Ovis aries: one gene and its partners. The protein of the gene in region 1 purifies or fractionates together with the protein of each later gene. This does not show direct contact. Links are inferred from orthologs where the notes say so. Each region holds a gene or a part of one and is shown in the gene's direction. Other genes may lie near its edges. The genes, in order: BIRC2, TNFAIP3, IKBKG, HTRA2, MAP3K14, TANK and BCL10.

Region 1 (3,888 bases):
ATTTCCCTAGTGGTCCAGTAGTTAAGAATCAACCAGCTAATGCAGGGACACCAGTTCAATCCCTGGTCTGGGAAGATTCCACATGCTGCAGAGCAGTTAAGCCCATATGCTATAGCTACTGAGCCCGTGCGAAACCTGCACATTGCAACTAGAGAAAGCCTGTGCAGCAAACAGACCCAGTGCAACCAAAAACAAATAAATGAATAAATAAATAATCAAACATAAAGTACTCATTAAAAAAAAATCCAAGACCCACTCCCTTTCTTACCTGAAGTGCTGCTTGACTTGCTGGTAATGATTGATGTTCATGCATGCAGGCAGGCATGTAGTCCAGGCAAGGTTAGAAGTCGGTTAGAGGTATGCTCCCCTACTTCTGAAGCCTGAACAAGACTACCTTCATTTTTAATTTTCCAGTGTTCTTGGTTGGCATTTGTTTTTCTTTTAGCACTTGGATATATTAAGTCTTTCTCTCCTAGCCTGGAAGGTTTCTGCAGAGAAATGTGCTGATAGCCTTAGGGGGTTCCCTTGTATGTAATAATTCATTTTTTCCTTGCTGCTTTCAAAATGCTTTGTCTTTTTATTTTTAATATTTTGACTATAATGTGTCTTGGAATAATCTCTGGCCTGATCTTGCTTGGGGTTCTCTGTACTTGCTATTTCTGGATATCCGTATCTCTCCCAAGATTTGGGAACTGAAGTTTTAAGCTGTTATTTCTTGAAGTAAACTTTCTACCCCTTTTTTCTGTCTTCTGGGATTCCTGTGATGTTCATCTGCTTGGTGGTGCCCTGTAATTCATGTGGTCTTCCGTCACTCTTTTTTATTCTCTTTTTGTTCCTATAACTGGCTAATTTCAAATGATCTCCGTTTGGGTTCTCATTCTTTTTTTCTGCATGATCAAGTCTGTTGAATTTCTCTATTGATTTTTAGTTCTGTGCTTTTATTCTTCAGCTCCAGGTTTTCTGTTTGATTCTTTTTTCTTTCTTTTGATTAAACTTCTGATTTTGGTTTCTATTTCTTGTTTAAACTTCAGATTTTGTTCATGCATTGTTATTTTCATTTCATTTAGTTGTTTACCGTTCTCTTGAATTTTATTGAGTTTCTTTAAGGTGACTGTTGAGTTCATTGTGAGACATCATAAATCTTCATTTCTTTGAGGTCAGTCTGGATGTTTATTAGTTTCTTTTGATGGTGTTGTATGTGCCTGATTTATATATTTATATGCTATATGTAGCCTGGCCATAGTATCTGTACATTTGAGGGAGCAAACACCATTTCCAGTTTTTACTGATTGGTCTTGCCAGGTGAGGCCCTTCTTCTGTCAATTTTGATGGATACAGAGCTGTTTTGGGGTCTGTTGCTGGGACCATAGTCAGGAATTCAAGCACCTGGGTACAAGCCAGTCTTCTCAAAATCGCTCTCCTTGGTTTTGGAATACACAAGGCTTTCAGAATCTTATATCTCAATCACAGAGCCTCTCACAAAGGCACTTTGGTCCTTGGATGGATTCCAAATTGTTGTTGAGTAGGGATCCAGATGGGAGACATCTTAATTAGCAATCTTGCTATCATTACTCTCTTGTATCCTTCTTAAGGTATCGTCCTCACTTGGCTTCCTGGACACCACATTGTTGATTTTCCCATTACCCTGGTTGATCATGAACAATTTCCTTTGGTGGGTACTCCTTTTTCAAACCTCTTAAGTGATGGAGTGCCCCTCAACATTCAGCCCAAAGGTAGTTCTCCATTTCCTGAGCTACAGACTAGCATGTTCAACCACCTGTTTAAATCTCTGCTTGTTTATAATGGATTTCTCAAGAGTTATAGGACCAGAGCAAACATTTTCTCCCTGCCCTTCGTACCTCAGATGTGCTTCTTCTCTGGTCTTCCCTGCTCAGTTAATGGTCTCCACTTGCTGAGGTTGACTTAAGTTAGACATCATCCCTGATTCCTCCTTTTACTTTGTATATTTAAGCTATTAAAAGTCCTTTCATCTCTATCTTTATAATATGTCCCAAATCTTACCACTTCTCTTCATCGTCACCACTGTTAACCTGATTCAAGCTTCTATCACCTTTTGTCATAAAATCCTAACAGGTCTCCCTGATTCCATTTTACCTCACTAAAGTTTATCACAGAGCTGCCAGAATCATTTTTTGGAAAAAACAAATCAGGTTTTATCAGTCCTAGAATATTCTAGCAGACTTAAAATATAAACTCCTCACAAGGCTTTACATGATCTAGGCCTCACCCTACTCTCTGACCTGCTCTCTGACTCTGCACTGCCTTACTATTTCTTGAATAATATCAAGCTTTCCTCTTGACTTGAGGCTTTTATACTCGCTGTTCTCTTTGCCTGAAAGACTTCAGATATTCTCACACTCATTCCTTATCATAGAGTTGTTTGCTCTGCTGTTACCCATTCAGACAGGGTTCCACATACATTTGAGCAAGGGAGCACACACACAGTGTATATTTACGTTTATTATACAACAGTTTTCCAGCAGATGGCAGTAAAGTATCTTGAAGAATGATGTCTTTTTGTAATTTTCACAAAAGTGCCACATTGGCTGGCATAGACCCTGTTATCAGAAAATGCCTCTCTGATCACCCTGAATGTCCTCCTGCTGCTTCCTAGTTTGTCTTAACACCTTATTCTGCTTTATTTTCTTCAGAATATGTGTTGCTATCTGAAGTCATTATTTTAATTCTTTAATCACATTTTTTAAAATCACGTTTTTAGATGTATTCTGTATGAATTAGTCTTCCACTTTACTGTTCTTCCCACTTGACTGTTCTTCCCATCTTTGTTTTTTCTGCTTCATATATCCACCTCTTCAGGTCCTGTCTATCCTTCAGGTTCAGACTCTTGTGTGATCTTTTTCATTAAGTCTTTGTTTATTTCTCCCACTTTCCTAGCTGAATTGAGATTATTCTCACTTCTAAATTTGTGTAGCATCTCAGTTTCCAAAAATAAACTCTGTACAACGGAGTCATTTGAGGAATTTTTAGGATATTCTTATGTTCCATCCCTAAAGACTCTTAACTAAGTAGGTCTAAGGTGTGGGAATTGGTATTTTTTTAGAGTACAGCCTGTTACTGGGCTTCCTTGGTGGCTCAGTGGTAAAGAACCTGCCTGCCAATGCAGGAGTCATGGGTTCGATCCCTGGGTTGGGAATATCCCCTGGAGAAGGAAATGGCAGCCCTCTCCAGTATTTTTGCCTGGGAATTCCTATGGGCAGAGGAGCTTGGTGGGCTATCGTCCATGGGGTCACAGAAGAGTCAGACACAACTTAGCAACTGAACAACAATAAGAGCAGCCTGTAACTGCACTCTCATTTGATCCTTATCAGGTTCAGACTTTGGTTGGAGTTATAGGTAACGTGCATACAGCTCATCTCCATTACCAGGATATAATCACCCCTAAAGTAAAGATTATATCAGAGTCATTATTGTTCCCTATATTTTTATATTTATGGAATTTACCCAAATATATATCTTTTAAAATAGTTGTTCAGTTTGGACCTGGAGAAAGTTCTTCAGACGATGCAGTCATGATGAATACACCTGTGGTTAAAGCTGCCTTGGAAATGGGCTTTAGTAGAAGCCTGGTAAAACGGACAGTTCAGAGTAAAATCCTAACAACTGGAGAGAATTACAAAACAGTTAATGATATTGTGTCAGCACTTCTCAATGCTGAAGATGAGAAAAGAGAAGAAGAGGAGGAGGAAGAGAAGGAAAGACAAACTGAAGAAACAGCATCAGGTATTTGGGAATGTTAGTCCCCTGGATTATTTCCACTGAGGTCTCATAGGATTGTCTCACGTGTTGCAGCACAGTGAGTATCCCTGTCTCTCCACTAACTGGTGGCAGCCAGCAGTCATTTCCAAA
Region 2 (3,888 bases), on another chromosome or scaffold:
CTGTTTGCTCTTAAAATTGGAAAGCATCCTTGCTGGGAGTAGACTTTTTTGTTGGTTATAAAACATTCAGTTTAACTCTCTATGTAAATATGTAAATAGCATTTTATAAGTAAATGCTTTATAAATGTTCCTTTTGGGGACTATAGAGAAAACTCCAATCGACAGCCTACATAGCAGCATAAAATTGCAGGATTTCTCACAAAATATTTGTTGTCTTTCCAGTATAGGGAGGGAGTGCTTGAAAGAGGTAAATCAAGACATGGACTAAAAAGAAGGGTTGCTTGGTGGTGCTCTTAGAAGAGGAGCTGGCTTGTCAGGGCTACATTGTGCCTATAACCAGCATTCAGGGCACCTCAAATCCAGTGTTTGCCCCCAGAACAGCATCAGGATGAGACAGGAGTTTCAGTCGGTTAGAAGGCACCATACCTGTTGCTGACAGACAAGCTTGGCTCCCTGACAAACGTTACTGAAAACACGGGTTATTCCCCTCCTCCTCATTGCCCACTCCTTCTCTTGTTTAGACTAATCTTTAAAAATGATGTAACTTAAAACTGTCCAGTGTGAGTTCATCTTTGGGGCCAGCTAGTATCCTGGGAGTAGAGGTGACTAAGATCTTTTGCCTGCTGCTCAGGGTAATGACAAGATCAGACAGTGGGGTTTCCTGCAGGCAGGTATATAGGAGTCATATCAAAGTCAGACTAACAGCGTGGGGTTTTCTTTCCCTCCTCTTCAGGTATTGGAGAGCACCATGGCTGAGCAACTCCTTCCTCTGGCCTTGTATTTGAGCAATATGCGGAAAGCTGTGAAGATACGAGAGAGAACACCAGCAGATATTTTTAAACCTACCAATGGAATCATTCACCATTTTAAATCCATGCACCGATACACTCTGGAAATGTTCAGAACTTGCCAGTTTTGTCCACAGTTTCGGGAGATCATCCACAATGCTCTCATTGACAGAAACATCCAGGCTTCCCTGGAAAGCCAGAAGAAGCTCAACTGGTGTCGAGAAGTCAGGAGGCTTGTGGCCCTGAAAACAAATGGTAAGATGTGCTTTTGTCTAGGCGTTGAGGTGGCTCCTACCATGCTGCGTCCCTATTTATTAAAAGGCACCGGGCCCAAATCAAATCTCTTAAGGCTATAGGTACCGAAGTATAGAGACACTCTGAGGGGCATGTGACGAAAGCAAGCTTGCTTTGTGAGTATTTGAATTAAGGGTGATTTCTAGTGCATGTTAGAGAGCAGAGCACACTGAACCTTGGAGAATGCATTTCTGGACACTGTGTTAGGTGTATGTGTAGGGTATGTAGGTATGACTTCTGTATCTAATTCTTGTGACTATTTAATCATCTGTGAAATACCCTTCCCTCACGAGTAATGGAAATATCAAAAGGCTTTAAAAAGTTCAGAAGAAAAAGCATGGTGTGAAAATCAATAGTGTTTTCCACTGTCATTAGAAAATGCTCGTGATGATGGCCTTACACTTCTTGAATCAATGGCATTTTATGGGTTAACCACTGGCTGTTGTCAGCTCCTCCCTTACCTAGGTTCTGTTGCCTGCAGTCCCAAGATACTAACTAGACAGATAAACCTGAGTTCTTAGTGCAGGTTTTAGTCCTTTATTTCATTCTTTTTAGGGATTCCTAGTACTGTACCGCATTTCTTGCTATCTGTGACTGTCTGCCCAATGGCTGTTTACAACTCATTGCTGTTTCCTGTTCTAAACTTCACTGTTGTTTTTTTTTTTAATTATTTCCTTTGAGCAAGAGTATGCACATCACAGAAACATTCAAGCCTAGTGTTAAATGTAGAAACAAAATTCTACTTTATAAATGTAGTTAATTATTGCAAGGAGCAGTAGACTGCTTATTGTCTAGGTAAAAGCAGGAAACTCCTGTCCTTAGATCAGTGACAATCCTAAACCATCCCAATTATTTTGATTGATATACATCTAAGGGCAAAATAATACATCTTCATTGACAGTGAGACCAGATGATAAGTATGTTAAATGAACTGGTACATTCACTTTGGCTGTTTTTGACTTGGGTAACTTGGCACGATTGAGGGACATGACTTTTTCTTGGGTTTTGGGGGTTAAGTGCATCACCTAAACATCGTGCTTTTATTTTTGAAGCATAGATTCTTAGAAACATAGAAAGAAAACGGAGGCTTCCTAGTGTTTACACTGGTTTTGGCATTAAATCAAGAGATGCTTAGAAGTAGGTAATTATGTTAAGTCATCATCAAGGGGTTTATATTCCTGACAGTTTGTGGTTTTAACTCTCCCATTTTGTTACAAAAAGAGGTGGAGTCAACTTGGGAGAGTTGAAAAGAAGAGATTCTGCCAAATTAGAAATGTGGTAATAAGAAAAAAACCATTTTATATGAACTGAACTGGGATTTTAGGTTCAACTTGCTCTAGTTCCTTAAGGAAAAAAATAGAATATAAAAAGTAAATACTTGTCTTGCAAAGATATGCATTTAAGTCAAGGATTCACGCTACAAATAAAACTACAAAGCAAGTGCATTTTGATATCATTTTCTGAGAGATGGGAGTTTTTAGGCTCAGAGTCCTTTTATTTCACCACTTACAAGAAAATTCCTTAAAAATCTGGAAAAGAAAGAGAAGATATTTAGGGGAAGAGGAAAACAAACGGCTTTTCCTTTCTGATTTTTATTAGCACCATTTTTTTTTTTAAGTCTTCCCCCTATAGGAAGGCTCTTCAAAGTCAATGGTCTATTTGGGGAGGGGGTGATTCACAAGTTTGCATTTGAGGATATGAGACTGTGGTGAATGAGGAAGGGAGTAGGTGGCATAAAATTGAAACTTCATTTGAAAAATTCCAGCGTCTATTGGCTGCAGCGATTTCACTTGTATAATGAGTAGCCCTATTCCAGCTCACCCTGACCACACCCACTTGGAAAGTCCAGGGTGCACTTCGCATTTTAAATGTCTGCACACCAGAACAAAAAGTACAATAGCTGTTGCTCAATTGCTAGTCAAATAATTTAGCACTGGGGAATTCCAGATGTTACTTAGGGAATTTTATGCTGGTGCATCTCAATAAAGAACTGAAAGTAAGCACAAGAAGAAGAAAAAAAGCCTTATCTTTGCTCTAGATTTTGCAAAGGGGAAATTTCAACAGCTTGCAATTGTTGCCACACTTCTGCCAAGACACAAGGCTTGAGCGATCTTTTTGGTTCATTTGTTTGAATGTTTATTTAGCTAGTTTTTCTGACTATGTAAACTGAAAGAATATTGGCTATGGATATGTTTGAGGGTGTTGTTGTTGTTTACAGTTGACTATAATTAGGACATGATAAAATTTCAAATAGCTTCATTGCCCCATATAGCAATGTAAGGAAATAATTGAACGTTTCTTTATAAAAACAATTATGCACTTCCCAGAAGAGCCTAAGGAGTTAACTTTTTAAATATTAAACATTTCTCCGAAACATTTATTCTTTGGAGGCCAAAAAAAAATGCCATTTCATGAGTTGTGGATTTTTAACCTATAAAAGTAACAAAGTGACAGATTAAAATTAGACCTATCTTTTTCTCAAAAGGCTCAGAGTTCTTAAAGTGCCAGCCGTAAACACTGAATCAATTTTCAAATGTAGACATCTAGACACTCTTTAACTCTGAAAAGGGACTCTAATTGCTAACAGGCGGGTTCACACAAGGCATTTATGGGAGGTAGGGGTGAGCAGGCTAGTAGGTAATTCCGTCTCAATCCCATTTTATAAATCAGGAGAGGAAACTCCCAGGCCCTGCTTGCTGTGGTGGGCTGGTCAAGTCATTTACCCCTGAGTCATGGCCAGACGGTCCCTGTCTAGTAAGCGGAGCCAGACCAGCTTCCTGGTTTGAGCATGTTGCTCTGGGTGTTC
Region 3 (4,559 bases), on another chromosome or scaffold:
GATGAATTGGGGAAAAAAAACAAGATGAATAGATAAGCCACAGACTGGGAGAAAACACTCACCAGATGTAGTATCTGGAGTATATAGCCCACTTCCCTCGATATTGTGATATGTGTTAAATGCCACTGGTTAGTACACTTGAACGTGGTTAAAAAGGTCAATCAAAAAGAAAAAAAAACCACTCTACAACAAAACAAGAAAAGAATTCAAGATTGGTAAAGGCTTGACCACATACTTCACAACAAGAAAAATCAATGGTTACTTAACACACAGGAAAGTGGTCAAGATGACCAGTTGTCACAAAAATACAAATTAGACCACAATGAGATCCAGCTTGACCTTCACCAGTAGGTTGTAATCTGAAAAAACTAACCCCATCTGGTGTTGGAGGTGGTGTGGAGGAAACACTTGCACCAGGGTTCACAGCAGCCATAATTCCCAACAGCCCTGAGCTGGGACACAGTGAAAGGCCATCAACAGGGGATGGACAAGCTGGATATCTACACAGTGGGACACCTACTCAGCAACACCAAGGGATGAGCCAGGGGGATTCCCTGGTGGTCCAGTAGTTAGGACTCCACCACAGGGGTTTGCGGGTTTGATCCCTGGTAGGGGAACTAAGATCCTGCAAGCCACGCAGGGGGCAAGAACAAAGATTACAAACCAAGAAAAAAGGGATGAGCCAGTGGCCTACTCAACACAAGCAATTCTCAGAACCAGAATGCTGGACACACAAGGCTCAACACCCTGAGTTCATTTAAGGGAAGCTTTAGAAAAGGCAAAGCAGCCACAGTGACAGAAGTGAGAGTCCACAGCAGGAGGTGGACTGGCTGGGGAGTTGGAAACGTTGCCTCTGGTTATAAAGGTCAGAACCGATTGGACAGAGAAGATGTCTTTCGATGTGTACGAATGTTGCCTACAAATAAAAAGACTGAAAAGAACAACTGAGCAGACGGCGGGCGGTGCTTGCTGTTGACCATGTGAAACTTTCCAAGATAATGGCAAGTGTGTGAAGACAGCAACTGTGAGCAACAACATTGTCATCCCACGAAGTCACCCAGTCCCTTCTCTCCAGGCCGGTTTAGCTGCCATAGCCACGGCTACCTGCTTGCTTTTGGTGACCTGACAAAGGAATTCTCCACTCTGGGTGGAAGAGGTGGTGAGCCTGGGCATGGCCTGGGTGAAGAGCAGGTGCCCTTTTATGCCCCCTGCCCTGTCATCAGTGAGGGCTGCTGGGCAGAGCTGCTAGACTCGCCCCGGGCAGGAAAATCACCTCCAGGGGTGAGGACCTGAGTCTTCAGGGCAAAATGACCCTTTAAGAGTCATGTCAGCACTGGACGCAGTCACATCTGTGGACTGTTGCAGAGAGGAGCCGCAGGACCAGAACCGATTGCAATCTGCACCCCTAGACGGGCCATGAGGACGGTAGTTGGGGAGCTACCAGGTGGGTGAGTCCTCCCCTGGCTGGGGGCGATGGGGGCCACTTTTGAGGCTAGCATGCTCAATCCCCATTTGTGGCTTCACCCTCTGTCTCCTGGGCTGAGCCAACATCTGCACGTGGACAAGTCTGCTCCGGCCCAGGTCTTGGCTAGTGCCCAGCCCACACGGGCCAGTGTCTCTCCGCCACCTCCGGGCTCTAGCGGAACCTGGAGTGCTCCAGTGGGTGGTTCCCAAACCAGGGTGCCCTGTGTTGCAGCCCCCGCCCCCTGTCTGCCAGCCACTTAGAACTGATTGCTGAAGGCTCTGGAGCAGGGCCCCCTCCTGCCGGCCACCTTCCCTGGGAAGCCTGGAGATAACAGCGCCTCAAGGTCAGTCACTGATCCCTGGCTGGGGTCTCCCTGGAGCCCAGCTGCAACCCCTGTGGCCCCTCTCCTCCCAGTGCCCAGCAGTGCCCGCTTTCCGCTGACCCCTCCTGTTGCGGGGCTCCAGCAGGAGAAGCCATCAGTCCCCTGTCGGCGGGCACCTCCTGGCCCAGAGGAATGTTTGCTTCCGGTCAAATTCCAGTGGGTTAGTGTCCTGTCTGCTGAGTCACGGTGCCCTACACCCGACTGCCCTCACCGGTCCATTTGGGATTAGCAAGGGGTGGAACCTGCTCGCCTTGTTCAGCTCAGCCCTGCCACCAGCGGCCTGAGTCACTCACCCAAGGGAGGAGTGAGGTAGGACCCAGACGGGGGTGGGGGCACAGAGGCCTAGGAGGCCCCCCTACCCAGCAGCCTGGGCCTGGTTGCACTGCTGGAGGTAACATGGGCTGAGAGCACAGTGCTCGTGGGGTCTGGAGGAGTCTGGGGCCACGTGGTGACTTAGCAGCAGGAGCAGGGCCTGCTGCAGATTTCCAGCCACCTGCATCTGGCCTGCCAGCACCCTGATCTTATCTCAAGTCTCCAGTTTGATGAGCCCTTGGTCTCGAAGGGTGTTAGGGTGGAGCACGTGACAGTAGAAGTTGGGAGGCCGGGCAGGGGTGGGCTCTATCCCCCTCGAGGCAAGATCTGCCTGGCCTCCCTCCTGGGCCGCGGGGCTCATGACTCATCAGCCCTTTGGGGGAGCGCCAGAGTCACCGTGACACAGCAGGAATCTTATCGCCCCAGGAGGTGAGGCGGCCCAGAAGCACCCCCTGAGGAGAGAGGGCCCGGGTCCTCCAGCTCAGCCCTGGCAGGACCCCGTCTCTGGGCTGGGCCCTGGAGCACTCATCGAGCCCATGGCCCAGATGGGGAAACTGAGGCCCAAAGGCAAAGACCGCCCTGCAGAACCTGCACTGAGCCACTTCTGCCCGAGGGGGCTCCTCGGCCTGATCTTTCTCTCATCTCAATCGCTCTGTTTCCATTGGGGGTTAGAGTGGCTCCAGCCTGGCAGGCCCAGGGTTCCTCTCTCAACACTGGTCTGGAAGGAGAAACGGGGTTCCTGGGTTCCAGAGGCCTCCAGACCAGGTCCTGTAAGTACGTCCACTGCCCTCCTACTGAGGGTGGGAGTCTGGAGGAGGGAGTAGGGAGCGGCTGCAGCTACAAGGCCATCAGGTAACTCCTCAGGCTGGCCTTCGGACGGGGCGGAACCTGGGCGCGTGGGTGCGGGGTTGGGCAAAGCCGGCAGGGAGGAGAGGGGCGGAAGACAGCTCATCCTTTTTGGAGTCGCAGGCTCCGCTCCGAGGCCCTGGCTCTGCGGACCTTGGCGCCTCCCAAGGCCTGGGGTGTGAAGGCCTGGCAGTGTTTGCTGTCACATGCACTCACCTTCAGGCCCAGCCCCCAGGCACGGCTCCCACAGTGGGGGGGTGGGGGGGCCTCAGGGCAGGTGCCTGCTGTGCTGTGAACTCCTTGGTCTCCCAGAGTAACAGGTTTGTGCCGCCTGCCTGCCTCCCACATATCCCAGCAGGAAGGGGAGAAACAAAACAACAGAAAAAACAGGCTCTACTTCAGAGGCCCTGGTACTCCCCCACCCCCCGCCCTGCTGGCTGCAGCTGGCACTTCCTCTTTCTGCCCTAGAAGCCTCTGCTGATTGCTCTTGGAACAGAGAAGAGCAAAGGGGAACTACTCGGGTTGCAAAGAAACAATGTTGCCCAATGCCAAGGCCACCACACGTGAAGGCAGGGAGGAGTCACCAAATCAGCTCAGCAGAACCCTGGGGCCCCTTGGTGCTCCAAAGACTTCCATTGCCAAGTGGAGACTGTGGGGTTGAGAGAGGAGGAGACACTTGGCCCAGGCCACAGAACACACTTGGATGCTCTCACTGAGGTGGTTTAATCGGAGTTGAGGATCTAGGGTCATAGGCAATTTACTAAGGCTGGGGACCCTCTGCTGGAATGTCTTGGGACAGGCTGGGATGGGGATGGGGGAAGGAGGAAAAATAATCCTGAGTAACTTTCTCTGTCAACCTATTTCTTGGACCAACTCCGAGGTGTTAAGCTTTCTGGTGCCTCGAGGGATGAGGCTGGGGCCAGGGTGGGGGCTAAGCTGCCCCCTGTGTGCCCCTCCTGGGCATCCTACAGTCTTGGGGTGATAAGACGGTCAGGGGAGAGTTTCGGGCAGCCTTCCCTTCCTTCCCAGCAGCACAGCCCTCCTCGCGCGCAAAGCCCCCTGCCCTGCATTCTGGCTCTTTTTCCAAGTTTTGACCAGAATCACACAACTGGCAAGAAACACGTTCTGCAAAGGGCGGTAGCTTGTTATGATACATGAATGAAGAGCTGAATTCCTCTAGAGCTGAGGGGAGAGGGGTGTGGAAGGGACAGAGAGACCATGCCTGCCCTGTCAAGAGCTCACTCGCTTGGCAGAACTCTCGCTTCAGGTTTATACAGTAAGTCACCACCAGAGATGCTCGTAATCCTGGGGAGCGGATTCTTGGTCCCGTCCAGGATGAAGAGTTTCCCTTTGAGATGAAACGTAGACAGCGTTCCAGCCGTTTCTCATGTCTTGCCACTGGGTTGATCTTATTTCCACGTGGCACATGGAGAAAGTGCTTTTAGTTGGGGGGGCCGGTCATGGCTCTCCAAGGACCCACCCACCCTCTCGTGTTCCACCCCCTCCCAACATGTATGGTCAGCACGCTCTGTTTCTGCCTTTGCTTCTAGTCTC
Region 4 (4,340 bases), on another chromosome or scaffold:
AAACTTCCCCTCCAAACCCAGAGATTCCCTGTGGAACACACTCACCACGGAGACAAGGGGTCTCTGGACTCGCAGGGTAAGAGGCTGTACCACGTCCTGGATAGAAAATGGCCAGGAACTAGAAGAGTGAAAAAAGTAAGATGGGATTCTAGCCAATCTAGTCAGCAGCTCATACCTGACTTAAAACAGATACTGTCACACTGTACAAATAGAAATGTGGGAAATAAACAGATTCAGGGGAAAGAACTAAAAGTGGGCAAAAAGTAAATAAACTAGGAAGGTAATGGGGAGGGCTGTGAAAACCCCAGGGCCCCCAAGCCTGATCACCTCCAGTTGGAGACAGATACCTGTGCTCACCTACCTGAAGCGCAGGAGCCCCTCCCGGCCATTGGTGGCCTCTTCCTCGGGAAATAGTAGCAGAGGGGTAGGGGGAAGCCTTGTTGAAGCACAGAATCTCTTGAGTGACTCCACCAACTCGCCTTGACCATCCATCTCCATAAAGCCCCGAGACCAGCACACAAAGCTTGGGGGACTATTGAGTAGAGGCTGGGCACCGGAAGGAGAGAAAGCAAGAAGAAAAGAATGCTGTGAAGTGAGAAAAATTGACATATGGGTAGAAAAGCAAGGTCGGGGTAAGGGTCAGTATCTTGTGGTCCCCATGGGAAACCCGAACACGGAGAGGGGTGCCTTGAGCTGGGCCCCAGGGAGCCACTCCGTGGCACTCTCGGCTTCCTCCCTAACTCACGGTGCTACAGCTGGTGAGCAGGTTGACTATGTTGTGGTCGAAAGGTGTCACGTGGTTGGAAATGAGGACCCTGACACGGTGATCCCGCAGTCCAGAGTCCTCCTGCCGGGCCACGAGCCCCAGCACTGCACACATGGTCCGTACCACGAACCTGCGAACGCAGGCAGTGGTGACTACCTGGCCTTGGGCCAGGCCCAGCCCCAGCCCTCCCCGAGCGCCCGGGTCGGAACCTGCGAAAGACACTGTCTGGTAGCGCGCAGCTGACCAGGAAGACGTGGATCCCAAGAAACAGGCGCAGGACGAGGAGGCAGAACCCGACTGGAGCGTAGAGTAGTAGCGCGAGGAGCAGGAAGCCGTCACCCGGGAGCCTGGGGGCGAGAGGCGGGGTGATTGGGCGCCGAAGGCCAAGTGGACGCGGAAGTCGGTCTCTTCCCGCCGGGGTTCTTACCGGTGCGAATCAAAGAGCCGCTCCGGCCCCGGCGACGACGGAGGCTCCATTGCCGCTGCTTTAGGATTGTCTGGCCGCTGCCGCCATCTTTGCGCCCCGCCGCAGGGGCTCTTGGGAAGGCGGAGTCTTCGGGCATCCGCCCAGGGTGCCGGGACCTGAAATTCTGAGGCGCCCCGGAAGGGCTAGCGGTCCCATCATGCCTCGCGGACCCGTGGGCCACCTCATAACTCGCGTCCCGCGGGGACCACAATTCCCGGCATTCGCGGGGCGGGGGCGGAGTTGGCCTCCCGGAATCCTGGGTCCCAGCGTGCACTTCTGGAGACTTCAGGTACCGGCGTCCTCAGCGTCCAGCTGCCCTCCTGGTCGCGTCTAGGGCGCCGCCTCTGCGCTGGGCGGGCGAGGAAGCCGCCGAGGCGGAGCTGATGGCTGCACTGAGGGCGGGGCGGGGTGCTGGCTGGAGCCTCCCGGGATGGCGGGCTTTGGGTGGGGGTCTCTGGGGAAAGGGACCCCTGTTGACCCCTGACCTCCGGGCCCTGCTGACGTCAGGAACTCCTGACCCTCGGACCCGAGTGACTTATGGGACCCCCAGTTTCAGGGCCCGGTTGTCTGTGGGGGTCCCTGAACCACGGACATGCCTGAGGTCCTGGACTTCGGATCTCCGAGCACGGCTGATCGCTGGGACCCCAGATCCCCGGACTCCGGAAGGCTCCGGAACTCCCGGAACCCGTCCGCGCGTGTGGCTAGCGGTGGCGCTGGGCGCTGGAGGGGCGGTGCTGTTGTTGTTTTGGGGCGGAGGGCGGGGTCCCCCGGCTGTGTTCGCCTCGGTCCTTGGCTCGCCGCCCACCTCTCCCCGGAGCCAGTACAACTTCATCGCGGACGTGGTGGAGAAGACGGCCCCTGCCGTGGTTTATATCGAGATCTTGGGCCGGTAATGGTGGGGGTAAACACTAAGGCACCGAAGCCGCGGGCTAGAGGGCGGGCGAGAAGGATGGGTCTGAGCCTCCTCACATCTGTACTGTCCCCCCGCCCCCCTTTTTCCAGGCACCCTTTTTCGGGCCGCGAAGTCCCTATCTCGAATGGCTCAGGATTCGTGGTGGCTGCCGATGGACTCATCGTTACCAATGCCCATGTGGTGGCTGATCGGCGCCGAGTCCGTGTAAGGCTGCCTAGCGGCGACACGTATGAGGCCGTGGTCACAGCTGTGGATCCCGTGGCAGACATCGCCACGCTGAGGATTCAGACCAAGGTGGGGGTCGGGGCAGGCCATGTCTGCTTGGGACTGTGAATTTGTTCACATCTCCAGATGCCAGGTCTCTTGTACCCATTCTCCCTTAGGAGCCTCTCCCTACGCTGCGCCTGGGACGCTCAGCTGATGTCCGGCAAGGGGAGTTTGTTGTTGCTATGGGAAGCCCGTTTGCACTGCAGAACACAATCACCTCCGGCATTGTCAGCTCTGTTCAGCGTCCAGCCAAAGATCTGGGCCTTCCCCAAACCAATGTGGAGTATATCCAGACTGATGCAGCTATTGATGTGCGTCCTGATATAAGAAAAATGAGACTAGGTTGGGAGAGAGGGGAGGGGTGTGTGGTACAGGCACCAGTTGTGATAGATGGTGGATGAGCCTATATACTGGGATTGGGTTGCAAAAAATGTGGCCACTCCTTCACGGGCTGGGAAAGGAGAGGATTTGGAGAAAGTGTCTACATCCTGATTGTGCCCCGAGGCATAGAGTCCCTGGATCTCTGCCATATTTTCTCCTTGTCCTGCAGTTTGGAAACTCTGGAGGTCCCCTGGTTAACCTGGTGAGTGTGACATCCTTTCCAAGAATCCCTATCTCAGGTCAGTATGGGAAGAGGTGGGTTTCCCCTAATTCACTGGTGTTTGGTCAAGTTTCTGAGCAGTTTCTTGTTGGCTGTCTCCCAGAATCCAACTAGATCTCCCCCAAAACTCCCTCCCACTCTTGCTCAGGTACCCCCATCTCCTATTATTTGTCTGGGCTAGAGAATAGTGGGCTGTGTCCCAACAGGATGGGGAGGTGATTGGGGTGAATACCATGAAGGTCACATCTGGAATCTCCTTTGCCATCCCTTCTGATCGCCTTCGAGAGTTTCTGCATCGTGGAGAAAAGAAGAGTAAGCCTGGCTTTTGGGGAAACGGGTTTCTTTAGTGGCAGGGGTGGGGAGGGTTTGCTGGAAGAGGGGTCAATTGGGAGGAGGAGGGGAAGTAAGGATATACCTGGGTGGGGCTCATTTGTCCTTCTAACACAGATTCCTGGTTTGGAGTCAGTGGGTCCCAGCGCCGCTACATTGGGGTGATGATGCTGACCTTGACTCCCAGGTATGAGCTTTAGGGGTAGTGACACGTAGGGCCATCAGTGTAACCAGTGGTGGGTACCTGGCAGTTCTGTTGAGCTTCGTTCTTAGTTCTGTTTTTATCTAAGATGAGTTGCCTCATTCCTCTCTCATTATCTTGATTTTTCTCACCTCACTCTATTTTGCATACCTTCCATCCTGTTATTGCTTAGATTTACAATAAATACCCAACCTTCCAGATGTGGCTTCCCTATGAGTATTTTCTGTTCCAGCCAACTTGATTTCCTAATCCCGTGTTTTTATGTTGTTCTTGTTTTATATAGTTTAATATCAGATTGATTCTTCTAGGTTAAGCTAAAGTTATAGCACTTCCTAAGTTATAGCTGCTTTTAGGATTCTAGAATGACATTAGTGCTATTGATTTAACCCTGTGTGTCATTTGGAATGTTACCTTTTATATACACATTCTGCTTCCTAACTGCTAGAAGGCAAAAAGTGAATTGTTTTTGTATCAAGAGGATCTAGTGCACGTCCTGTTCACACGCTTGTCGGTGTGCTGATGAAAGATGTGAGGCAAACCCCGAATGGGGAGAGTGCCCTGTGACCAACAGAGTGATCTGTGTCCTTTCAGCATCCTTGCTGAACTACAGCTTCGAGAACCAAGCTTCCCTGATGTTCAGCATGGTGTGCTCATCCATAAGGTCATCCTGGACTCCCCTGCTCACCGGTGAGGGAGAGGCTGCGTTAGGAGGTGGAGATGGGTGGGGTGTATGCGCCCTTGAAGTGGGCCATCTAGTTCTTCCTTTATCTCTCTATCCTTTGCCATAGGGCTGGT
Region 5 (4,485 bases), on another chromosome or scaffold:
TATGGCCTGAGTGAGTGGATGAGGCCCTGAGGTTAAGTTTTCTGCCTGAATGAATGGTCTTTCCTATTCCCCTCAACCAAGATGTCTGCTAGAGGCAGATCTCCAGAAACATACATCAAGCTATGAACGACTGTCCAAAAAGTGGTCCTGCGACTTCTCTGACACCCCCATGCTTAAGACTCCGCATTTCCAATGCAGGGGGCATGGGTTTGACCCCTGGTCAAGTAACTAAGAGACCCCATGCTGCGTGGTACAGACTAAAAAACAAAACCTGAGCAGGTCTTTGCTCCAAGGCTTCCAGAGATGGGGTAATCCTTATTTCTCCAGACGGCCTTGAATGGGGCCTGCTTACCTCTACCACTAGAGCCGCTTACCTCACTTGCCTGCCCTAGACCACTGATGGGGGTGGAGTGCCCAGGTACCGGCGTATCTTTTATTTTGCAAACTACTTTTTAAGTGTGGAATTTTTTTCTTTATTATAAATAAAAAACAAGCTCACTGTGGAAACACTAGAAAATTTGGAAAAGCAAAAGTTAGAAAAGAAAAAATAGTCACACCTCCCTAAACCAACTCCCCAACCCCTTCGCTGCCCCATCCCCATTCAGAGAAGCACTGGTGACACCTTGGTGCATATTCGTACTCCAAGTCCTTTTTATACATAGGTAAAGCTCTAGTCTTCTTTCTGGCTCCATAAACCCAGCGAGGAGATGCTTCACGCAGCGCTCACACCAGGTTACTTCTCTGACTGTGGGACGGGATTGCACCACGCCAGCCGCACGCTCTCACCAGACAAGGGTTTCAACACACAGGTGTAACCTGTATAAGCCTTTAACTCCGCAAGCTTCTCGAAGGCAGGCACTATTTAAGCCTCAGAGACGCTACAGCGCCAGGTTCACAGTAAGTGCTTAATAAAATGTTTCTAAATACACAGCCCCGCCCCGCCCTGCCCCTCTCCCCCCAACTGCCAACACACCTGCCTCAGCCGCCAAGGCTTGGAGCAAAGAAGAAACACAACCAAAACCTGGGGAGACGGCGCTTCGCGGTCTCCTAGGTAACCAGGTCTTAGGCTGGGGAGTGCCCATGCATGCGCACACTGGCCCTTCCTTCCCGTAACCTCCAGAGGAACGCAACCAGTAAGACTGCCAGAAGCCGAGCGCGCATGTGTGGTTCCACCAACACCCCGACCGCCTCCGCCTTCTGTCAATCCGTCGGCCCAGCCATCTCTTTGCTATAAACACTGTCCGGAAATAGTGCCCATTTCTGGAAACAGGGCCTCGTTAACCAATCGTTGCTTGGGGCGGTAGGAAGGAACTGGCTGAGACGCGCCGTCTCATTGGAAGATTGGGGAGTGGGCGGGGCCAGAAGCTAGGCGCTGCCAAAGCAAGGAGGCGCGAAGCGAGGCAAATTTGCTGCCGCGGGTGGAGGCGTGGCCCCGGGGGCGGCCGGGAAGGCGGTGAAGGGGCGGGGTCCGGGGTGGGGCGGGGCGACCGTGGGCCCAGAGAGCAGCGGTCCGCGACAGGCGGCGGGAGATCGAGGGCGAGGCGAGCGCGACACTCGCTGGTGGGGGAGATCGGCGCTCGGCCGGTAGGTGACTAGAGCGAGTCCCGGGGCGAGGGGCAGAGAGGACGGGTCACTCCTCAACCCGGGGCCGGGCTGCGGCCTGGCCCGCCGCATCGGAATGGTGGGGTCGGCGGCGCGGCCCGGGGACCCACTCGCGCCGGTCCTCGGCTGTGGCAGCTGGCCGCCGGTGCGCCCTCCCTCACGCCGCCAGGGCCACGGTCGCACGCCGGCCTCACCCTGCACACCCGCAGGCCACACGCTCCCCCGAAGCGCGCGCAAGGGCCCCTTCCTTCCCTTTCCCGGACACCCCCGTTTCCCCGCGCCAGGCTGCTCCACCGCCCAGGCCTGCCCGTCCTGCTCGGTTCCCTGGATGTTCTCCAGAAGGAGGGCTTACCTCGGCACTGGGCTTAAGGTGCCGAACGCCCCAGCGCGCCGGGTCCCTGCGTCCTCCCACCTGTCCAGGCAGTGAAACCCTCAGGTCTTTCCTGGGAAGTTCTCGGGGTCACACCCCGAGCCTGGGAGAAGAGATGGAGCCTCCGATTAGCACCCAGCGGGGCAGTGCTGGCTGGTCGCAGCATCCTTTCTCTCCCTGACTCCTCGATAATTCTTTCCACTCCACTCAGGACTTCCTCTGTCGGCTCAGATAAAATATCCCATCTTGGAAGTCCATCATGGTCCTGGCAGCCTGCAGCCAGAGGCACCAGGCAGAAGGAGGCCCCGTGTAAAGAGCCCCATTTGCCCAGGAACCTCCTCTGTGCCGGGTAACTTCAGGAAAAGCAGTTTGTTTCCTAACTGAAGTTAGGATGTGGCTCTCAGTCCTAAAGGGTGGACTAGGGAATGAGTAGAGAAAAGAGACAGAAATCTGTGATATAAATTGTTTTAACTGGAGGACAATGAACCCTGTCCCTTGATGATGAACTCAAAAAGCAAGTGAAGTTATATGGTGAGAGGTGGGATCTGATACAAAATAGCCTTCTGAAGTTTATTCCAGGAATAAATGTTGAAAACCCCTTGACTAGAAACATAGTCTTTCTGAAAGATTAGAAAGAGATAGTATCTTAACATTAGTGATGTTTTTTTTTTTTACTTAGTGTCTTCATACCTGTAACCCTTTTCCTTCAGATTTGTGTGTGATAAGATAAATAATATTGTCCTGTTTTAGAGGTGAGGCACCTGAAGCAGGTGTGTGTTTGGCAGGGACTGGAGGCGGGTAAATGGCTCTTGCCCAATGCCTCACAGCTGAGACTCAGGGTGACGACTTTAATCTGGGCCACTGGAATCTTTCCCCAGCTCCTTTCCCTAAAGCAGAACCACGTTATGGAACTTGGATGCAGGACATGGGGAGAAATATTTGGTGTGGTATTTATGCTCTTAACATGAGAGAACAGGTGCTTGTCTCACTTACAAAGTGTTTGGATTTACTCTTGGTGTTTTTTAAGTGATGTCAAAGTCCGTTCCTTTGGTGCAGTGATGCCAGACCTCTGAGATTTTCAGATGCCTGGAGGACATCCTCTTTTATTTTGAAGGGTGTGGCAGTGAACTTCTCAGAAGGCCTCAAAATAAAAGTACTCATCTCTGACTTTAATTTTAGAAATCTATACCCAGGTATGTGTTCCAGCTCTTTTGTGAGACCAGACAGCAGTAAGCCACCAAGCTTCAGTCCCCTTCTGACTGTTTTCAGGTTATAAGGAGTAGTTCTGAAAGGGGGTTTTTCGCCCCTGGTGCTGTCTGTTAGAGTTTGTGGGAGCAAGCGGTACCACAGACAGAGACCCTGCCAAATGAACCCTCATCTATTAAACAAAAATGTCTGGTTGGCCATTTCGCCTCCACAGACGGAGGTTTGGTTCCTCATTTTGTTTCTCCTATTGAACACTGACTCCATTGTGATCTGCTTGGAGTGTTTGTGTATCACTGAATGTTGAGAAGCGGGCTTGCCCTGATTGGTTGTCCAACTCCAGGCAACTGTTGTGGTTTTTGTTTGGTGCGTGGTAACGGTTCTTCCTGGCCAGGGTCTGGTGTGAGATCTGCAGAGATGGGAGATGGGTAAAGACTGACCCAGGGCTGTTCTCCTCGTTGTTGGCACCCTCTTAAGGGTGTCCGATCACTTTGGCCTGCGACGTCACTTTAGCTTCCTATTTTTTTTCCTGTCTCAAGGGACAGCACATGAGCTTTCCTAACCGGCCTGCCTCCCTTGATGAAGAGCTGAGAGATTCATGTTGGTTGACCTAACAGATGGTCTTTCTGGGAGGGTAGTTAAGAAATCTTAAACCAAGTTCGGCCCTGAATTAAAAGTGTAAGTTAGCTTGATACACACATAGAGAGCCTCTTTCTATCAATGGCTTCCATCATCTGAGAACTGTTTTTTTTTTTTTTTTTCCTGGCAAAAGGTTAAAATGCAACTAAAATTCTGCTTTCATGATTAATAAGTCACTACCGCAGTTGTATCTGATGCTTCCTGTTTGCCCCATTTTAGTATTTCAGTTAAACTGGAAACATCTGAGCCTTATGGGCACTTTGGAAGACACCAGTGTGAAAGTGGTGGTGGAGGGGGGAACAGTTCCCTGTCAGTGGATTTGGGAAGCTTTAAGGATAAGCCTGCTCCCCCTAGCCTCCACACACTGAGATCCCTGGGCAGGGCAAGTAGTAGGAGTTGAGCACCTTCAAGGGGTAGGTGAGCTTTTAAATTGATGCACGTGTGAACGCTCTGCATTTGCTGGGTGGTGCTGACTGAAATGTTGAAAGCAGTCGATTAGAAATGGAAGGCCAAACATAGGGCAGATGGAGTAGTAGAGCATTTCAGTCGAGCTGAGCGAGGCACTGAACATCTGTTGGCTTTGGGGTCTTCAGTTCTAGCCTTGTCTTAACTACTTGAGGGACCGTGCAGAGAAGACTCACTTTTCCTCAGTGCCCTGTGTGCCCTTCACT
Region 6 (4,330 bases), on another chromosome or scaffold:
GCACTTGTCCAAGATCACTAGGACAGGCATGTTCTCAAATTTGGAAATTTCATCAAGTCTGTGGATATAAAGCTATGTTCTAGAGCAGGCTCTGCAGGACAACAATATACGGTATTCAAGGTCATTTCAATCTTAGTTTTGAAATTGCTATTTTCAACACCCTTAATATGCTTGTGCTTGGTGATAAAAGTCTTTTTCAACACCACAACTCTTGTCAGATACATGCAAAAATAGTGACAGTTCTTTAAAATATTGTTTTAATTAAATAAATAGTAGGTCATCACCATGGAAGCTTTTGGAAGTGTTAACATGCATTCAGCCAAATACAGTTATACTTCAGTCAATGTGGAGAGTCCCAACCTTCAGTGTTCTCAGGGAGAGTCCATATATGTATATGCTGTGGATTTGACTGCTCTTCTCCTAAAAGGAATAGGAATGTGCTTGATGGTGGGAAGGAGCCAGGATGACATGACTGACTCCAGACAGCCCCTCTCATTTGCAGAGCATTTTGAATTTTACCATATTTGGTTTTTGTTTTTTTTTTTTGGCTTACATTATCAGTTGATCCTGCAAGCATCCATCCAGTGAAGTAGGTTATCATTGTCCTTTGCTGTCAGATTTTAGAAAATCAAGATTCATTAGATTAAGCAACTTGCCTGAGATAGTAGATATCCGAGCTAAAACTTTTCTTGAGGTATCTGTCTAAACTTTTCATCTTGGAAAATATTCAAGCATGGGTAGGAAATGGAATAATGGAGAATCCTAAGTTAGGGGAAATTTTTTTAATAGAGATCTACTTCCATGTAGCAATCACTCAACTTTAGCAAGTACTTTTAATGATAGGTGTTGCTAGTTGGGGAAAACCCAAATGGGTGTGTGTTGTGTGTATATTTGTGTGTGTGTGTGTGTGGGGGGGGTTCTTCTCAGCATGTGGAGCTTAATAACCCTAATCACATTCACATGAACATCTGCTGAAAATGAGGACTCTTGGAATTCACCCCAGTTGCTCTTAACTCTTGGAGAAGGGCATGGCAACCCACCCCAGTATTCTTGCCTGGAGAATCCCATGGACTGAGAAGCTTGATGGGCTACCATCCACTAAGTCTCAAAGAGTTGGACAAGACTGAAGAGACTTAGCTGAGCTCTTAACTCTGGGAATCTCTAAGGGTGAATCTATATCTTTAACAAGAGACCCTCCGCTGGCCTTTAAACTTGATTTCGAGTGCCTTTCCGGGTCTGTAGTTGTCCCCCTTGAGTCCGGGCAGGGCTGCGCCGGGCGGGGCAGGGCTGGGCGGGGCTTGGGTGAGGTTAGAGGGAAGTGGCGGCAGGGGCACGGTCTGGCTTGGAGGGGTGGAGGGTGAAGGGTTAAGGGATCCACGCGCAGGCGCTGCCCTCTGAACTGGAACGGAAAACAACTTCCGGTTGGAGTCACTCGGCTGGGCGCCGGGCGACTTGAGACTGGAGAGACCGGTGCGGAAACCCTGAGCTGTGAGTAAGAAACTTCGCTAGCGAGTTGCAGTGTCCGAATGCATCGGGCACGGCGACGGAGAACTTGTGTGTGTGAGCAAGAGGGATGCGCTGGCCGTATGGGCGCCACAGGGAGAGAAGCCGAGGAGCTGCAGTGACAACCAGTTCTCATGGTGGGGAGGGACTTTGTGCGAAGGAAATCACCTGGGTCCCTGTCCCGGAGCGGACCGGGAGGGGCTTTCCGGGCCCATGGCGTCTGCGCAGCAACGACGGCCCCTGCTGCGACGGCTGCCGGGGAGGGATCCTGCCCGACTCCGCGTCGGCCGCTCTCTGTGACTTGATCTCTTGGCCTGCCAACCGGGGAGGCAGGCCTGTGATGTCAGAGTGAGCAGTAGACCCCACCTGGAGGTCCCAACCCCTCTTGAGGACCGGAGGCTGCCTTCCAGAAGTTAATACTATCTTTGTTACTCTTTCAAAAACTTCCTAGGTTCTTTCTGTTGTTTTTCCCCCAAGGTTATTGCACAGTTTCTCTCTCAGCTTTCCTGCGGGGTGTCATCATAGCCTTGTCACTGAGAAGTTGGGTAACCTCCCCGAGGGTCAAGGAGAAACTGGATGGCTGAGGCAGAAAGAGCAGAAGCAAACCCTGCCCCCAGTGGGAACCGGGCGTTAGGCGGAATCCCTAGCGTGGTGTAAACTGGCTGGTGACGAGTTACACGTGTAACAAGCTGTGCTCGTCACGAAGTGAAGCAAGGAGGGGAAAGATACTCAAACCAAAGAGTCTCTGTGTCTCTTACTATGCCGTAGCAGGGAGAAGTAGAGCAGCCTTTGCTATATAAAGTGTCATGAAGTGACCCGAAAGTAGAGGAAAATAGCGTGATCTGTTTCCCTACCACGACGGGAATACACACTTCAGAGAGGGGGAGTAGAGAAGCGAGCTCTGTAGTCTGCTGAAAAAATGTTTTGTCCCTCTCATTGGGGAGGGGAAGAGAACCGAGAACCCTAAAGTGCTAACAGTCATGTTTTAAGCAGAAAATGAAACTCCTTCACGGCCCTCTCCCCAGCCACAGGTACTCCAGCGCCTTGCACATCTCTCTTATGTGTACATAAACGTGTTATTTCGCTTTCTTATGAAAATAAGATTGTATGTGCATACAGTCCTATAATTTGGTTTTTCAGATAGAATATATATAGTGGAAATCTTACCATATATAGCTCTGCTTTACCTTAATGTCAGCATGGGATTTCTTTGCCTGGGTGTTCCAAATGTAGTTAAACATCTCTTAATATGGCCTATCTATGTATTTTGCCCTTGTTCTTCACAATTATTTAATCTGTATTTCATTAGGATACAGATATATTAACCCTTTGTGATTTATATGGCGAATATTTTCAAGACCTATCAGTCTTTGGGTTAAAATGCCCAGGTTTTCACTTAAGAAGATGGTCCTCACCAAAAAATTATTAAAATATTTTCCTATATTGTTCATTAAATATTCTTACAGTTATGCTTTACTCATTTAAATGTATGAAAATTATTTTTGAATATTGTATAAGATAGGGATTTAGCCATTTTTGCTGAAATCATTTGCTGAAATCAATTCATTCCCAACTGGCTAGAAAAACTACCTTAATAGAGTAAATTTCCAGGCCTACATGAGTCTTTTTTGGATTCTTGTGTTCCTTTGTTCTATTTGCTTCTTCCTATACAATTACCAATCTCTCTTTGATTAGGCATTTTGTAGTCATTCATAAAGCAAGTCCCTCTTCAAATATCCTTGGTGATTGTGTTCTCTCTCAGGTAAAATTTAAAGTAAACTATGTATATTTCATTAAAACAGGTTTCTTTGGGGAGTTTTGTTGTTGTTGCTGTATAGTTGCTCAGTCATGTCCAACTATTTGTGACCTCATGGACTGTAACCCACCAGGCTCCTCTGTCCATGGGATTTCCCAGGCAAGAAAGCTGAAATGGGTTGCCATTTCCTTATCTTGGAAAGAGATCTTTCTAACCCAGGGAATGAACCTGATTCTCCTGCTTTGAAGGCAGATTCTTTACCACTGAGTCACCAGAGAAGCCCTTGAGGGGTTTAACTACCCACTAATATTTTGTGACTGACATGTAGATGATTTATATATCTGGCCAACTTTCTAAAATTACTGGTTTTAATAAATTGTCTCTTGAATTTTCTAGGAAAATAGTCATCTGAATATAATCTTAACTCCTTCTTTATATTTAAATCTTTCTTTTGTTTATAAATTTATAGTTTCTCCAAAACAGTGATATATAATAACAGTGATTCTGGCCATCCTTATCATATTTATTCATTTGCAGTTATTTTTATTGTGTCATCATTGAATATGAATTTTATAATAAATTTCAAATAATTTTATTTATCAAAGAAGTGTCTAATATTTCTAGCTACTGGGATTTTTGCAGGGAATAGATTTTGGATTGTGTCTGAAGTTGGGGTTTTTTTGTTTTTTCTTTCGCATTGGCTAGCACTTTGAGAGCAGTTTTGAACAGTAGATGTTGAGTTTTCATTTGGTGTATATATTTCTTGTTGATGTATTTTCATTGCTACTTTAGTACTAAACATTTTTATCAGGAGTGGAAGTTGAGTTTTGTCATATATGGCATTTTGGCATCTAATGTGATCAATCTTGTGGTTTTCTTCCTTGACCTTTTAGAATAGCAAATTGTTTTAGTAGATTTCTACCTTTGTTGTTGTTGTTGTTTTTAATTTTTATTGGAGTATAGTTGATTTATAATGTGTTAATTTCAGATGTACAGCAAAGTATATGTACATATATCCACTTTGTTTGTTTGTTTGTTTTCCCATATAGGCCATTAGTTCAGTTGCTCAGT
Region 7 (4,614 bases), on another chromosome or scaffold:
TATTTACTATAAGAGAAGCCGATTAACTAATAGTACGGTTATTGATTATCTTAGGGAGGTGAATAAAACCTAGTATTTTCAGAAAAAAAAATAAAATAAAATAAAATAAAATTTTACTGCTCCAGACACCCTCATCCTATTGCCCTGTCTTACAATTTCTCTTAGTATTCATTATCTTCTAACATAATAAATAACTTACACAGTGTTTTTTGAACGTCTGTTTGCCTTGCCCCAAACACACATACGCTAGAATTTAAACTCCAGGAGGAAAGGAATTGTTATCTATTTCGTTCACAGCTGTTTCCCCAGCACCTAGAGCAGTCAGTCTTTGGCACATAAGCTGATATTCAGTAAATGTTTGAGAAATGAAAGAACAAATGGTTTAGTAAATTGGATTATATCAAGCAGATGGAAGATTAAGCAATCAGAAAAAATACTATGTATCAATATGGAAAAAGACATGTGATATAATGTTAATGTTAAAAATAGAACCTGTGTTGTGATCAAATATAGCTTGGTGTGGCTTTGGCAACGTTGTTCTTTTCTGATTCCTTTCCTTCCTCTTCCCTTAATTGTTGGGGTTCAAAATTTGGTTTTGGTCCTCTTATCATTTTTACCTACCCTCTAGCTTCAAGTACCATCTACTTTATTTCCAGTTTACCTAGCATGTTGTCCAAACAACCCTCTTGTGCGCAGGACTCTGTTGTGAGCTTTTCATCCACCCAGATTTTTACTGGGTACATACACCTCTGTCACTAGCTGGAATACCATTCTGAGAATAGTGATTTGTTCATCAGGCTCCCCAGTACAACGGTAGAATGGTTACAAAATAAGATACCTAGAACATATTAGTAAGGACTCAATACATGTTTTCGTAGTGTAAGATAATGATAAATTGGCTGCGCACTGTGTGCCCATTACCTGTAAGAACCTAACAGATACCACATCATTTAATTTTCACAGAGGCCCTGTGAGAGCTATGAAGCAGAAAAACCTTCATTATACGGATGAATAAATGAGGAAACATGTTGATAATAAAGTGACCAAAAAGAATGCAGACGTTAAATTAAGTGTTAAAGTGTTGGGACTGTAGGCGATTGTTCTCTTTCATAAATGTAATACTGTTGATAGGCTGTGTACATGCGTCTCGGGTATGTTATGTGTACGCACGCAAGTCAGTGTCTGACCAAATTGTTTTAAAACGAGGGAGCAAGCAGCAACAGAAGTCGTTGGATAGGGTCTGGGAAAAAGGGAGGAACCATAAAGTACGGATAAGCAGAGACCCGACTCCACCTGTGAACTGCCTGCGCAGGCGGCGACCGCAGGCAGGCAGAGCAGCTACGTACCCCACCCACGGAAACGATTCCTTTCGGGGAGGCCACCCCGCGGCCACTCGCTGACGCTCAGGAGGCTGTGGGTGGAGCCACTCCTGAAAGGCTCCGGCAGGGGGCGGGGACAAGGGTGTCCCGCAGGCTGGCTCTGATTGGCTGCTGTAGAGACTGGGCGGGCTCTCCCGGTGGCCCCCCGAGGGGCGGTGCCTGCTCCTGGGCCTCCGGGAGAGAGAAGGATCCGGGGCTCCGAACTCCGCTTGTGGACAAGTAAGTCTGATTCGCCCTCGGCTCTGCCGGAAGCGGCACAGGTTGACTTACTAGTCCTTCGGCCCTCGACGGGGCAGCCCTCTCCCTCCCGACCCTCTCCGCCTCCCTTCTGCCCCTTCATTCGAAGGCCGAAGCCCGCAGCCTGGGCGGGGCGGCGCAGCCGGAGCTCCTGGACCCGGAAGAAGCGCCATCTCCCGCCTCCGCCATGGAGCCCACCGCGCCGTCCCTCACCGAGGAGGACCTGACTGAAGTGAAGAAGGACGTGAGTAGCACAACCTTGCCCAGGTGCCGTCGCGGGCTAGGGGCGGGCGGGGGCGGGCTGCAGTTCTGCGGGCGAGGAAAGCGGAAACCCAGTGTCCTAGTCCGAGTCGGAACTGGAGGAGGAGCCCGGGGTCGGAGAAGCGGAACGTCCGAGAACCGCAGGACCGCGACGAGCCCTGCATGCGAGGAACCTTGGTGGAAGTGACCTGCCCCCAGCTGACCTGTTAATCCACGTTTTAAATCAATAAAAGCAGGGCTTGAGTTTTTGAAACCTTGTTCAGTGGAGCGTTTCTTCACAGTCAGCTTCTTGCCCACTCTTCACTCATCCCCTGGTGATTTCACCCCAGATGCGCTTTGGAGCAGCGTTGCTAGGGATCGAAGACTGAAGTTCACCCTTGAGTCAGACTACCTTGGCTGCTGCTCGACCTGGAGCAAAAGCTGGACCAGATAAAGCATCCCAAGCAGTGGAGCAAATACGAGAAACTTTTGCAGAAGGGGTTGGGGGAAGCTCGACAGCTGAAAGCACTACCTGGAATTCCCCTACTAAGGAAACACCCACGTATTTAAATTGAAGGGGTGGGGTGGGGGTGGGGGGAGAATAAAAGAAGTCGAGAATTAATGTACAGGTAAACGTTGGAGATACTCAGTAGCTAAATTATGGTCTTATGCTTGGATGGTGAAGTGCACAGATCTTAGTATTTATTCGTAGAGAATGAGTTTATTGAGGTCTGACCTGTTTCTCTTTTCCTTTGCTTTTTGTAACTTGTTTTGCCACATGAAACTTCTCTGACAACCATCAAAATGCTTTATATTCAAATTAAAAACAACATGAACATTAACTGTGTTCTGGCTTACCGCTGCAATACTTACACAAAATCATCTTTGTGAACTAGACAGAACAACAGCGTTTTAAATGTTTGTTTGCTTTTCCCTCACCTGTAAGGTTTATTATGCTGTACTCATAATTACAGTGAGTAATTACAGAATTACTGTGAGCAATTCTGATAATGAATTAGCAGAAGGAAACTGGTTATGACTGGGACGTGTGCCTTAGTTTCCTCCTTCAACAGATAGTTGTGGAGCACTTATTTTATGGAAAGTACTGTTCTTAGGCCTGGGAAGATACCAAAAAAAAAAAAAGTCACCCCTGCTTTATATTCTAGTTAAGACTGGGATATTGATAACTACTAAAGAACAAAAGAGTGTTGTGTTATTCAAGATTTGTGCCAGTAAAAACATGAACTTCAAGAGCTAGGCCTGCTGTGTCTCACAGTTGACAATATCCCCAACAACCTCTAAGGCAGATAATTGTCTTTCCCATTTTATAGTTGATAAGACAGGTAGTGAGAGGTTCAAGTGAAAAGATATAAAACGTACATAAAAAACCTATACATATAAAACCTGTACAGATGTGAAGGGAGGCTTCCAGGCCTTAATTTTTTCCCATCTGTTCATTGATACTTTCCATCTCCATGACTTCAATTTACAGCTGTATCAGAAAGTTATAAGCTTGGGGAATCATGAACAGGTTTCAGGACATGTATGAAAAACAGTATGTGCACACTTTTTTCTTAGAAATTGTGTTCATGATATTTTCAAAATGGTTTGTGACCTTAGAAGTTTTCACATATTTGGGCTTCCTTCCTTCTCATCTCTAAGTGCTTATTTCCAAATATCTACTGGAAATCCACATTTATATCCTTCAGACTCCTCACTTTGTCTAAAATTGAATTTTTTATAATCCCTCCCCCAAAGCCACTTGCTGTTTCTACTATAGTCTCTGTCTTGGTGACTAGTGTACAGTTCTCCTTCTGTATCCATGGGGGATTGACTGCTGATACCAAATTCATGGATACTCAAATCCCTTTTATAAAATGGTGTAATATTTGCATGTCACGTACATACATCTGCCCATATACTCTGAATCATCTCTAGATTACTTATAATACCTAGTATAATGTAAATGCTATGTAAACAGTTGACCCACATAGCAAATTCAAGTTTTGCTTTTTGAAACTTCTGGAAATTTTTTTTTTTCCCCAAATATTTTTGATCCATTCTTGGTTGAATCTAAGGGTGCAGAATCTGCAGATATAGAGGACTTATCCACATGGGAACTCCCATTTCTTTCTTTTTTTTTTTTTCCCAGGCTACCACTTCTTTACTATATCGCTTCTCCCTGTGTACCTCATCTAGTTATTTCTCTCATCTTTGAATTTAGTTGTTTCATAAATATGGACTACACACTACTGTGAGGCTCATCCTGCCATTGATTCTAACAGTTTAAAAATTAAAAACGAAGACAAAATTCTAGTTTGAGAACAGCTCAACTTCTTGGGGCAGGAGGAGACATGTAAAATGATGATTGCAAATCACAAAATAACGATGAATTTTTACATTCATCTGAAATATTATCTACTTGGCACTCTGCTAAGTGTAGGATATACAGAGTTGAACAAAATGTGCCTGGTTCTTGCGTGCTTTTAACATGTGAGTTCTTAGGGTTGAAAACAAATGTATAATTTCAAATTATGGTAAGTACTGTGAAGGAGATGAACAGGTGCTGAGACAATAACAGGATAAGAGGAGAAATTACTTGAGATAGGATGTTCAGGGAAAGTTATATTTAAACTGATTCCTGAAGGATATGACCGAACTAGGGAAGAACATTCTAGACAGAATAGAATTTGCAGAGGATCTAATGCAGGCAAGCTGTTGAGTGTCTTGAGGTGAAGTTAGGATGGTAGGCTAGGGC

What was found.
Region 2: the proteins of BIRC2 (region 1) and TNFAIP3 purify together in Homo sapiens (affinity purification with mass spectrometry; 5 studies listed by BioGRID and IntAct, with this or other methods). This does not show direct contact. The link is inferred for Ovis aries from reciprocal best matches to the Homo sapiens genes BIRC2 and TNFAIP3.
Region 3: the proteins of BIRC2 (region 1) and IKBKG purify together in Homo sapiens (affinity purification with western blotting; 6 studies listed by BioGRID and IntAct, with this or other methods). This does not show direct contact. The link is inferred for Ovis aries from reciprocal best matches to the Homo sapiens genes BIRC2 and IKBKG.
Region 4: the proteins of BIRC2 (region 1) and HTRA2 purify together in Homo sapiens (affinity purification with mass spectrometry; 4 studies listed by BioGRID and IntAct, counting the BioPlex papers as one, with this or other methods). This does not show direct contact. The link is inferred for Ovis aries from reciprocal best matches to the Homo sapiens genes BIRC2 and HTRA2.
Region 5: the proteins of BIRC2 (region 1) and MAP3K14 purify together in Homo sapiens (affinity purification with western blotting; 3 studies listed by BioGRID and IntAct, with this or other methods). This does not show direct contact. The link is inferred for Ovis aries from reciprocal best matches to the Homo sapiens genes BIRC2 and MAP3K14.
Region 6: the proteins of BIRC2 (region 1) and TANK purify together in Homo sapiens (affinity purification with mass spectrometry; 4 studies listed by BioGRID and IntAct, with this or other methods). This does not show direct contact. The link is inferred for Ovis aries from reciprocal best matches to the Homo sapiens genes BIRC2 and TANK.
Region 7: the proteins of BIRC2 (region 1) and BCL10 purify together in Homo sapiens (affinity purification with western blotting; 3 studies listed by BioGRID and IntAct, with this or other methods). This does not show direct contact. The link is inferred for Ovis aries from reciprocal best matches to the Homo sapiens genes BIRC2 and BCL10.

The regions. Positions count from the first base shown.
Region 1 is NC_056068.1:6,029,608-6,033,495, reverse strand, and holds part of BIRC2 (baculoviral IAP repeat-containing protein 2), read left to right. Parts: intron 1-3,507; coding exon 3,508-3,762; intron 3,763-3,888. UniProt on the Homo sapiens protein: Multi-functional protein which regulates not only caspases and apoptosis, but also modulates inflammatory signaling and immunity, mitogenic kinase signaling, and cell proliferation, as well as cell invasion and metastasis.
Region 2 is NC_056061.1:63,028,388-63,032,275, forward strand, and holds part of TNFAIP3 (tumor necrosis factor alpha-induced protein 3), read left to right. Parts: intron 1-733; 5' UTR 734-748; coding exon 749-1,043; intron 1,044-3,888. UniProt on the Homo sapiens protein: Ubiquitin-editing enzyme that contains both ubiquitin ligase and deubiquitinase activities.
Region 3 is NC_056080.1:79,920,311-79,924,869, reverse strand, and holds the start of IKBKG (NF-kappa-B essential modulator), read left to right. Parts: upstream 1-1,715; 5' UTR 1,716-1,808; intron 1,809-2,124; exon of another isoform or gene 2,125-2,929; intron 2,930-4,559. UniProt on the Homo sapiens protein: Regulatory subunit of the IKK core complex which phosphorylates inhibitors of NF-kappa-B thus leading to the dissociation of the inhibitor/NF-kappa-B complex and ultimately the degradation of the inhibitor.
Region 4 is NC_056056.1:96,382,447-96,386,786, forward strand, and holds the start of HTRA2 (serine protease HTRA2, mitochondrial), read left to right. Parts: upstream 1-1,519; 5' UTR 1,520-1,615; coding exon 1,616-2,121; intron 2,122-2,234; coding exon 2,235-2,439; intron 2,440-2,528; coding exon 2,529-2,723; intron 2,724-2,962; coding exon 2,963-2,995; intron 2,996-3,219; coding exon 3,220-3,325; intron 3,326-3,460; coding exon 3,461-3,530; intron 3,531-4,136; coding exon 4,137-4,232; intron 4,233-4,333; coding exon 4,334-4,340. Other genes in the region: lipid droplet-regulating VLDL assembly factor AUP1, read right to left, coding at 46-118, 362-546, 746-896, 976-1,113, 1,194-1,243.
Region 5 is NC_056064.1:44,688,470-44,692,954, reverse strand, and holds the start of MAP3K14 (mitogen-activated protein kinase kinase kinase 14), read left to right. Parts: upstream 1-1,497; 5' UTR 1,498-1,584; intron 1,585-4,485.
Region 6 is NC_056055.1:148,618,448-148,622,777, reverse strand, and holds the start of TANK (TRAF family member-associated NF-kappa-B activator), read left to right. Parts: upstream 1-1,430; 5' UTR 1,431-2,499; coding exon 2,500-2,534; intron 2,535-4,330.
Region 7 is NC_056054.1:62,309,635-62,314,248, reverse strand, and holds the start of BCL10 (B-cell lymphoma/leukemia 10), read left to right. Parts: upstream 1-1,536; 5' UTR 1,537-1,803; coding exon 1,804-1,860; intron 1,861-4,614. UniProt on the Homo sapiens protein: Plays a key role in both adaptive and innate immune signaling by bridging CARD domain-containing proteins to immune activation.